Macaca fascicularis: one gene and its partner. The protein of the gene in region 1 purifies or fractionates together with the protein of each later gene. This does not show direct contact. Links are inferred from orthologs where the notes say so. Each region holds a gene or a part of one and is shown on either strand. Other genes may lie near its edges.

What was found.
Region 2: the proteins of TEFM (region 1) and KBTBD7 purify together in Homo sapiens (co-immunoprecipitation; 5 studies listed by BioGRID and IntAct, counting the BioPlex papers as one, with this or other methods). This does not show direct contact. The link is inferred for Macaca fascicularis from reciprocal best matches to the Homo sapiens genes TEFM and KBTBD7.

The regions. Positions count from the first base shown.
Region 1 is NC_088390.1:38,407,250-38,411,546, forward strand, and holds the start of TEFM (transcription elongation factor, mitochondrial), read right to left. Parts: upstream 3,063-4,297; 5' UTR 3,021-3,062; coding exon 2,990-3,020; intron 1,464-2,989; coding exon 1,000-1,463; intron 1-999. UniProt on the Homo sapiens protein: Transcription elongation factor which increases mitochondrial RNA polymerase processivity. Regulates transcription of the mitochondrial genome, including genes important for the oxidative phosphorylation machinery.
Region 2 is NC_088391.1:20,547,781-20,552,062, reverse strand, and holds the start of KBTBD7 (kelch repeat and BTB domain-containing protein 7), read left to right. Parts: upstream 1-1,261; 5' UTR 1,262-1,573; coding exon 1,574-3,631; 3' UTR 3,632-4,282. UniProt on the Homo sapiens protein: As part of the CUL3(KBTBD6/7) E3 ubiquitin ligase complex functions as a substrate adapter for the RAC1 guanine exchange factor (GEF) TIAM1, mediating its 'Lys-48' ubiquitination and proteasomal degradation.

The DNA of each region.
Region 1 (4,297 bases):
CTCGATCTCCTGACCTCGTGATCCGCCCGTCTCGGCCTCCCAAAGTGCTGGGATTACAGGCTTGAGCCACCGCGCCCGGCCTCATCAGGTTTTCAAAAGTACCCATATTCCTCAAAAACCTGGGAGCCACTGGTCTAGAAAAAAATGGTGCTTATGATTTTTTGAGATAATGATTATCAAGCAATGTTACACAGGACATGAGTTCCTCTAAAGTTTAATATTTGAATGCTGTGTCCAGGCGCAGTGGCTCACACCTGTAATCCCAGCACTTTGGGAGCCCGAGGTGGGTGAATCATGAGGTCAACAGATCGAGACCATCCTGGCCAACGTGGTGAAACCCCGTCTCTACTAAAAATACAAAAATTAGCTGGGTGTGGGGGCGTGTGCCTGTAGTCCCAGCTACTCAGGAGGCTGAGGCAGGAGAATCGCTTGTTCCTGGGAGGTGGAGGTTGTCGTGAGCCAAGATCGTGCCACTGTACTCCAGCCTGGTGACAGCGCAAGACTCCGTCTCAAAAAAAAAAAGCTGTGTCAAATATTTGTAGTACTTATTTTTTTAAGATAATGGAAAAAGAAGTGCTTTTAGAAAGGCCATAACCCATCTTTACTCCTTAATTTCTCATTAATCCCAACATCACCCTTAGACACAGCCTAGTATCTCCAATGACGCTCCTCTTAAATAAGCCTTGCCTAGACCTGCTTCTCAACACTAACTGTTCTTTCTACCTAGAATCCCCTCCTCTCCCAGCCAAAGGATCTCTCCTTTAAGATCTAAATTGAGTTTTTCCAGTAAACTTTCCACAACAGTCACAGCCCATTGTTTTCTCTCCTCTCAACTGCCAATTTACTATCTGTACATCTCATTATTTGGTAGTGACCATATACTTGCCAACTAAACCTGAAGAACCTTGTCTTAGCCACTTCCCAACCCAATGCCCCGAAGACTGCTTTCCAGAGTAGGTTCTCAAATATTAGGCAGTATAGCAGACATGAAGAATATACCTTAAGTCTTTCTCTTTCTATGTCTGGTTTGAGGAGCTTTCTCAGGAACCGGTTTTCCAGTAACTTTCTTTTTTCCCCTCCAGTCTTTGGACAAAGTATGGAGTTACAAACTTGAACTGTACTTTTATACTTAAACAAGGGCACATTCATTAAACTCTCTAAATTCTGAAATCGCCCAAAGTTTTCTCTGTGCTTTACGATATTGATGGACCTTCTTCCACGAAGCAATCTGAAAGCTTCAAGTTCTTTAGTAGATGCTGTATTCAACACATGCAAGATGGAAGCCTGCTGTTCTGAAGAGAAGAGCTTGTCAAGTGCATTTTCAGGCTCCTTTGCATTTTCATCACAAAAAGTAACATTGGGAGTAATTTTCTTAGGTGTAGTGGATTTTTTCCGACAGCAGGAATTATGTAAGACCCGGAACAGGGATGACCTCGACGGGGCCAGAAAGCATCTCCACCTCTCTAAAAGGAAAATGTAGCAAAATGTAAGTTGGATGTCCTACTTCCTTTAGTGTTAGTTGCAAGCTTGACTAGATCCTTTGCAAAGTCACAAATACTTTCCCGGAATTTAAGAACTAGTAGAGGACAATATTAAATTGTCCTGGAGAATCATCTTTAAAAGAGGATTAGTTTTTAAACTATATTACATAGAGTTTTAAATACAGCTTTTGTTGTTTTCAAGTCACGAGAGATGTCTTCCGATTTTTATGGATCAGTCCAAAGTTTTACTACCTAGAAAACTGTATTTTACACCCATTAGGAAGAAGGTAGTTGAAATAATTATTCCAACTGCTTAACGTTTTTGATATTTTTAATTTAGAGGAATCTTTTTGTAACTAATATTTCCTGTTAAGGTTTGTCTTAGGCCGGGCGTAGTGGCTCACGCCTATAATCCTGGCACTTTTGGAGCCGAGGTGGGAGGATCACCTGAGGTTGGGAGTTCGAGACCAGCCTGACCAACATGGAGAAACCCTGACTCTACTAAACATACAAAATTAGCCGGGCGTGGTGGCGTATGCCTGTAATCCCAGCTACCTTCAGGAGGCTGAGGCAGGAGAATCGCTTTAACCCGGAAGGCGGAGGTTGCGGTGAGCCCAGATCACACCATTGCATTCCAGTTTGGGCAACATGAGTGTAACTTGTTTCAAAAAAAAAAAAAAAAAAAGGTTTCTCTTCACTTCCATTTTCACATTTTAGTATCTCATCTGGTGGAACTGAATAAAATTAAATTTTATACGTTTATAAGAAATGTTTCGCCGGGCGCGGTGGCTCAAGCCTGTAATCCCAGCACTTTGGGAGGCCGAGGCGGGCGGATCACAAGGTCAGGATATCGAGACCACAGTGAAACCCCGTCTCTACTAAAAATACAAAAAATTAGCCGGGCGCGGTGGCGGGCGCCTGTAGTCCTAGCTACTCAGGAGGCTGAGGCAGGAGAATGGCGTGAACCCAGGAGGCGGAGCTTGCAGTGAGCCGAGATCGCGCCACTGCACTCCAGCCTGGGCAACAGCGTGAGACTCCGTCTCAAAAAAAAAAAAAAAGAAAGAAATGTTTCAGCTAAGTGGTAGATTTAAGGGCAGTTTTATTTTCTTCCGTACACTTTTCAAGATTTCTACCATGACGTTTTTGCAAGTATGAGAAACACCATACAATGCATAACTTTGTAAAACCAGTGGGAAGTCACTCTAACATCGCAGCCACAGGAAAGTAATGCGGCCAGAGGTAAGCAAGCGGCTGTGAGAATCTGAACCATCCGCCCACTCTGAGGAGCCACCTGTGGAACCTGAGGCCAGGGAAGCACAAATGTTCCGAAAACCGCCCCGTCAACTAGGCTGGGGCTCCAAGAGAGGGGCCTGAACAAGGGACATGAGGGACATGAGGAAGGAAACACTCCAGGTTCCTCCAGAATACCTCCAGCCCTATTCCATTAGCCTCTAGGGTCAGAGGCTAGTGACAGACAGGAAACTACCCCAGTGTGCCAAGCACCCTACCTCCCGCCATGAAGAGGGTAGGGCCGCTCATCTCCAAATTGAGTCAGTAGGTCCGGTCTTCCTCCATTGACTTCCGGTTCCTGCGTGCTGCGCCCAAAAGCGCTCGGCCTGCACTCGGCGGAAAGGTTGTTGTCCAAGCGGCGTTCCGGCGCAAGGCCGGAGATGTGTCCCGCTGAGCAGTGGGTTGTCCGCGTCTGCGCTGCCGGCTTCCGAGCGGGCGCCTGCCGAGGCCCTGGCCCCGGATTCCGAGTCCCGGGCTGGCCGGCAGTCTTCTTCCACTGCACCGGGGAGACGTTCTTGCCCCTCCCGACTCCTGAGAGCCGCTAGGCCGAATCTCCAGGAAGGCAATTCGGAGGCCAGTGTTAGTCTCTAGTGGGCAAAGTCCCTCCTTCGTGGAGACTCCCTGGGTTTCTCGTAGACACTTAGATTGAGGAGCTCCTGTTGGGGCCCAGCCTGTGGCGCCGGGAGCGGGATCTGGTGGGGGCAGCGTAGACAAGGTCCTCAAATAACCTTTTCACCAGATAGACTGGAATAACGGGGAGAGATGCGAAGTGTTTCAGGAGCTCAACAGGGAAACAGGGCAGGCAAGGGATTAGGGAAGGGCGAGGGAGGAGGAGATTGCGTTGGCGCTGGAGCGGTATTCCACTTAGAAGGGATAAAGGGAGATGAATGTGGCGCCGAATTGAGTTTGTCCTTGAATGCTGGGTGGAGCAGTTGAATACTCCACCAGGGAGGAAAATGCCTGAAGTCCCCGAGGTTTATGATTTGCAGAGTCAGACTGGAGATGTGTTTCTAGAAAATTGGCCGTATACTGTATACCGAATGTGAGGCTGGATTGGAGGTGAAGAGCCTGGCAGCAAAGAGAAGTTGCCTCTCCTCTTCCCAGGGGAGAGGCAACCGTAAGGATTTTTTTCTTTTTTCTTTTTTTTTTTTGGACAGTCTTGCTCTGTCGCCCAGGCTGGAGTGCAGTGGTGCGATCTCGCTGCAACCTCCGCCTCCCGATTTCAAGCGATTCTCGTGCCTCAGCCTCCCGAGTAGCTGGGATTACAGGCGCGCGCCACCACGCCCGGCTAATTTTTGTATTTTTGCTAGAGACGGGTTTCACCATGTTGGCCAGTTTGGTCTTGACCTCCTGACCTCAGGTGATCCGCCCACGTCGGCCTCCCAAAGTGCTGGGATTACAGGCGTGAGCCACTGCGCCCGGCCAACCGTAGGGAATTGAACCTGGGAGATGTAAGGAGAGTAGAAAGAAACGGATTATTTCTGGAAGATGGGGAGCCAGTTTTGTGAAAAACGGGGAATTCAGGA
Region 2 (4,282 bases), on another chromosome or scaffold:
CAAGGGCCCTGTTACAGAATTCCTGGAGGTTTAAATACCCTCTAGAGGATTCACTGGTTACTTGGTGTATACCCTATGTAAACGAAGAGAATGAATTAAAGTTACAAACTCATTTACTCGGCATACACCCTATGGAGAGGGTATTTCTTGTTATAGCTAAAGTGTGAATCGGCCTTATGTTCCCTGCCTCCAGACCCTATTTTCCTGCCTCAAATCTCTAATACTTGATTTTGATGATTTAACTGTTGATCAATGCAAATATAAAAGACTTTTGTAAAGCATAGGCTATACTGTATGTTAATTCAAGGAATGTCAGGGCATGTACTAATGCTGAATTCTGAGAATCACGTGCTTTTGTACAGAACAAAGTCTGTTTCTTGAAATATTTTGAGTTAAATACTCCCTAAAACTCCTTAATAAAGGCAATTACAGAATCTGTTAATTGATATGTGGAATGGCAGTGAAAGAGACTGTATTAGACGACTTGAAAACACTCATATTTGGAGCTTAATGAAAATATTCCTGCTCCCCAGAGATGAAATGTTAGTGAGAGTAGCAAATAATCTATTTTTATATGCCCGATTTGCATATTTGAGGCCATCTATTAACACCGTTCTTTAGGACCTCAACCTAGTCGTCTAAGACATCCTTATTAAACAAGGCCAATACGTACCATTTAACATTGAAAATAGTTAATGCCCTTCAAAATCTTTCAAAAGAATAAAAATTAAAAACTAAGTTCTTTGTAAAATTTTGCGGTTTAAAATAATTTTAAAAATTTTAAAAATTTTTTGGTTTCAAATTAGTGGGTGCCTCATTTATCATAAATTATAAAAGAGAATCTAACAATTATTGGCTACATTCTAGGCACGGGGTAACGCTTTATTGTTCTTCTAACCAAAAAAATACATGTATCTAAGTATCCTATGTAACGTATCATTCAATCACACAAAACCCTATGAAATACTGGCAGGGCCCGGTGGCTCACGCCTGTAATCCCAGCACTTTGAGAGGCAGAGGCAGGAGGATAATTTGAGCCCTCAGGAGTTCAAGACCAGCCTGGACAACAATAGTGAGACATCGTCACTTCACCATCATATCCAGAATTAATTTCTACTGTTAGGGCAGTCAGCGAAAGGAAAGCTCGCGATATTACACAAACTACTACTCCCAACATGCAAAGCGGTTTCTTTCCCTCTGTCCCCGCCCGGCCGTCCGAGAGCCCCAGCAGGCCTCGGGGCGCGAAAGGCAACCTGGAAGCGGTAGTTCTCCTGGGCGCCTAGCGGGATCGCCAGCGCGGCAGTGGGGCCTTCCGCGGCTCCAAGCCAGCGGGTCCTGTGAGGGCGAGCGGAGGCGGAGAAAGGGCGCGGGAGTGAGAGAGGGTGAGTCAGCCACTGTCTACGCAATAAAGGGAGACCTCACCGCGGGCTAAGGCTGAATTCAGAAGTGCGGCCCGTGCCGCAGTCTGTTCCAGGACGCGGCTTGTCTTAGCGTCAGCGAGGGAAGGTTGAGGAGGAGCCAGAGCCGGGTCCGGCAGCCTTTCTCGCTATCAGCGCCCGTCGCCATCTCCACCATGCAGTCCCGGGAAGACGCCCCGCGCTCTCGCCGCCTCGCCAGCCCCCGCGGTGGGAGGCGGCCCAAGAGGATTTCCAAGCCCTCGGTTTCGGCCTTTTTCACGGGTCCAGAGGAATTAAAGGACACGGCCCATTCTGCAGCCCTGCTGGCACAGCTCAAGTCTTTCTACGACGCGCGGCTGCTGTGTGATGTGACCATCGAGGTGGTGACGCCTGGCAGCGGGCCTGGCACGGGTCGCCTCTTTTCCTGCAATCGCAACGTGCTAGCAGCTGCGTGTCCCTACTTCAAGAGCATGTTCACAGGTGGCATGTACGAGAGCCAGCAGGCCAGCGTGACCATGCACGATGTGGACGCCGAGTCCTTCGAGGTGTTGGTCGACTACTGCTACACGGGTCGTGTCTCTCTCAGCGAGGCCAATGTGCAGCGCCTGTACGCAGCCTCCGACATGCTGCAACTGGAGTATGTGCGGGAAGCCTGTGCCTCCTTCTTAGCCCGACGTCTTGACCTGACCAACTGCACCGCCATCCTCAAGTTTGCAGACGCCTTCGACCATCACAAGCTTCGATCTCAGGCCCAGTCCTATATAGCTCAGAACTTCAAGCAGCTCAGCCGAATGGGTTCAATTCGGGAAGAGACTCTAGCAGATCTGACCCTGGCCCAGCTGCTGGCTGTCCTGCGCTTGGATAGTCTGGACATAGAGAGTGAGCGGACTGTATGCCATGTAGCTGTGCAGTGGCTGGAGGCTGCTCCCAAGGAGCGGGGTCCCAGTGCTGCGGAAGTCTTCAAGTGCGTGCGCTGGATGCACTTCACTGAAGAAGATCAGGACTACTTAGAAGGGCTGCTGACCAAGCCCATCGTGAAGAAGTACTGCCTGGACGTTATTGAAGGGGCCCTGCAGATGCGCTATGGTGACCTGTTGTACAAGTCTCTGGTGCCAGTGCCAAACAGCAGCAGCAGCAGCAGTAGCAGCAGCAACTCTCTTGTATCTGCAGCAGAAAATCCACCCCAGAGACTGGGTATGTGTGCCAAGGAGATGGTGATCTTCTTTGGACACCCGAGAGATCCCTTTCTCTGCTATGACCCTTACTCAGGGGACATTTACACAATGCCATCACCTTTGACCAGCTTTGCTCACACTAAGACTGTTACCTCCTCAGCTGTCTGTGTCTCCCCAGACCATGACATCTATCTAGCTGCCCAGCCAAGGAAAGACCTCTGGGTGTATAAACCAGCTCAGAATAGTTGGCAGCAACTTGCAGATCGCTTGCTGTGTCGTGAGGGCATGGATGTGGCATATCTCAATGGCTACATCTACATTTTGGGGGGGCGAGACCCTACTACTGGAGTTAAGTTGAAGGAAGTGGAATGCTACAGTGTTCAGAGAAACCAGTGGGCATTGGTGGCTCCTGTCCCTCATTCCTTCTATTCCTTTGAACTCATAGTGGTTCAGAACTATCTTTATGCTGTCAACAGTAAGCGCATGCTCTGCTATGATCCTAGCCACAATATGTGGCTGAACTGTGCTTCTCTTAAACGCAGTGACTTTCAGGAAGCATGTGTCTTCAATGATGAAATCTATTGTATCTGTGACATCCCAGTCATGAAGGTCTACAACCCAGCTAGGGGAGAATGGAGGCGGATTAGTAATATTCCTTTGGATTCAGAGACCCACAACTACCAGATTGTCAATCATGACCGAAAGTTGCTTCTCATCACTTCTACAACCCCACAATGGAAAAAGAACCGAGTAACAGTGTATGAGTATGATACTAGGGAAGATCAGTGGATTAATATAGGTACTATGTTAGGCCTTTTGCAGTTTGACTCTGGCTTTATTTGCCTTTGTGCCCGTGTTTATCCTTCCTGCCTTGAACCTGGTCAGAGTTTTATTACTGAGGAAGATGATGCACGGAGTGAGTCTAGTACTGAATGGGACTTAGATGGATTCAGTGAGCTGGACTCTGAGTCAGGAAGTTCAAGTTCTTTTTCAGATGATGAAGTCTGGGTGCAAGTAGCACCTCAGCGAAATGCACAGGATCAGCAGGGTTCTTTGTAAATAGATTTTGAGACACTAAGATGTTTCTACTGCTACGGAATGTATTTTAAACACATATCCTTTCTTTTTCTTGAAAAAAAAAAAGTTGACCAGGACCACAGATTTGGTTTAGAAAGGGTAATATTTTGAAATACTACAAGGTTTAAACAGTCCACAAAATCGACCTGTTTAATAATATACCTTCCTGAAAGTCCAAAATTAAAATATGGAAGCAAGAACTATGTAATTGACTGGGATGCTTGGTAGGTTTTTTTCATTGTTCAAATATTCATTGCACAGTGGATTGTTTTGATTAGTTAGTATGCTTTTTTTTTTTTTAATTAATTCAGTCTTCTGTTAATTTTTAAGTTTTGGTTAGTGCCACAAGGAATTTAACTTTTTAATCTGTACAATAGAAAACTGGACTAGGAATTGTTGGTGGAGTTTTGAAGGATGTATACTTTCCTTCAAAATAAAGTGGTAGATTTTCAAAATTTTACACTAGTCAGTTCTTTATATTCTAAGTTAAATATAGTTTGTAAAATTATTTTGGTTTTCTACAAAGGAAAAAAAATTGCATATATATATATATATATATATAAAGGTTACTGAATAATGATTTCATTTTGATAAATGTGCAGAATGGCCTCACAAGCTCACAGAAAGTAAAAA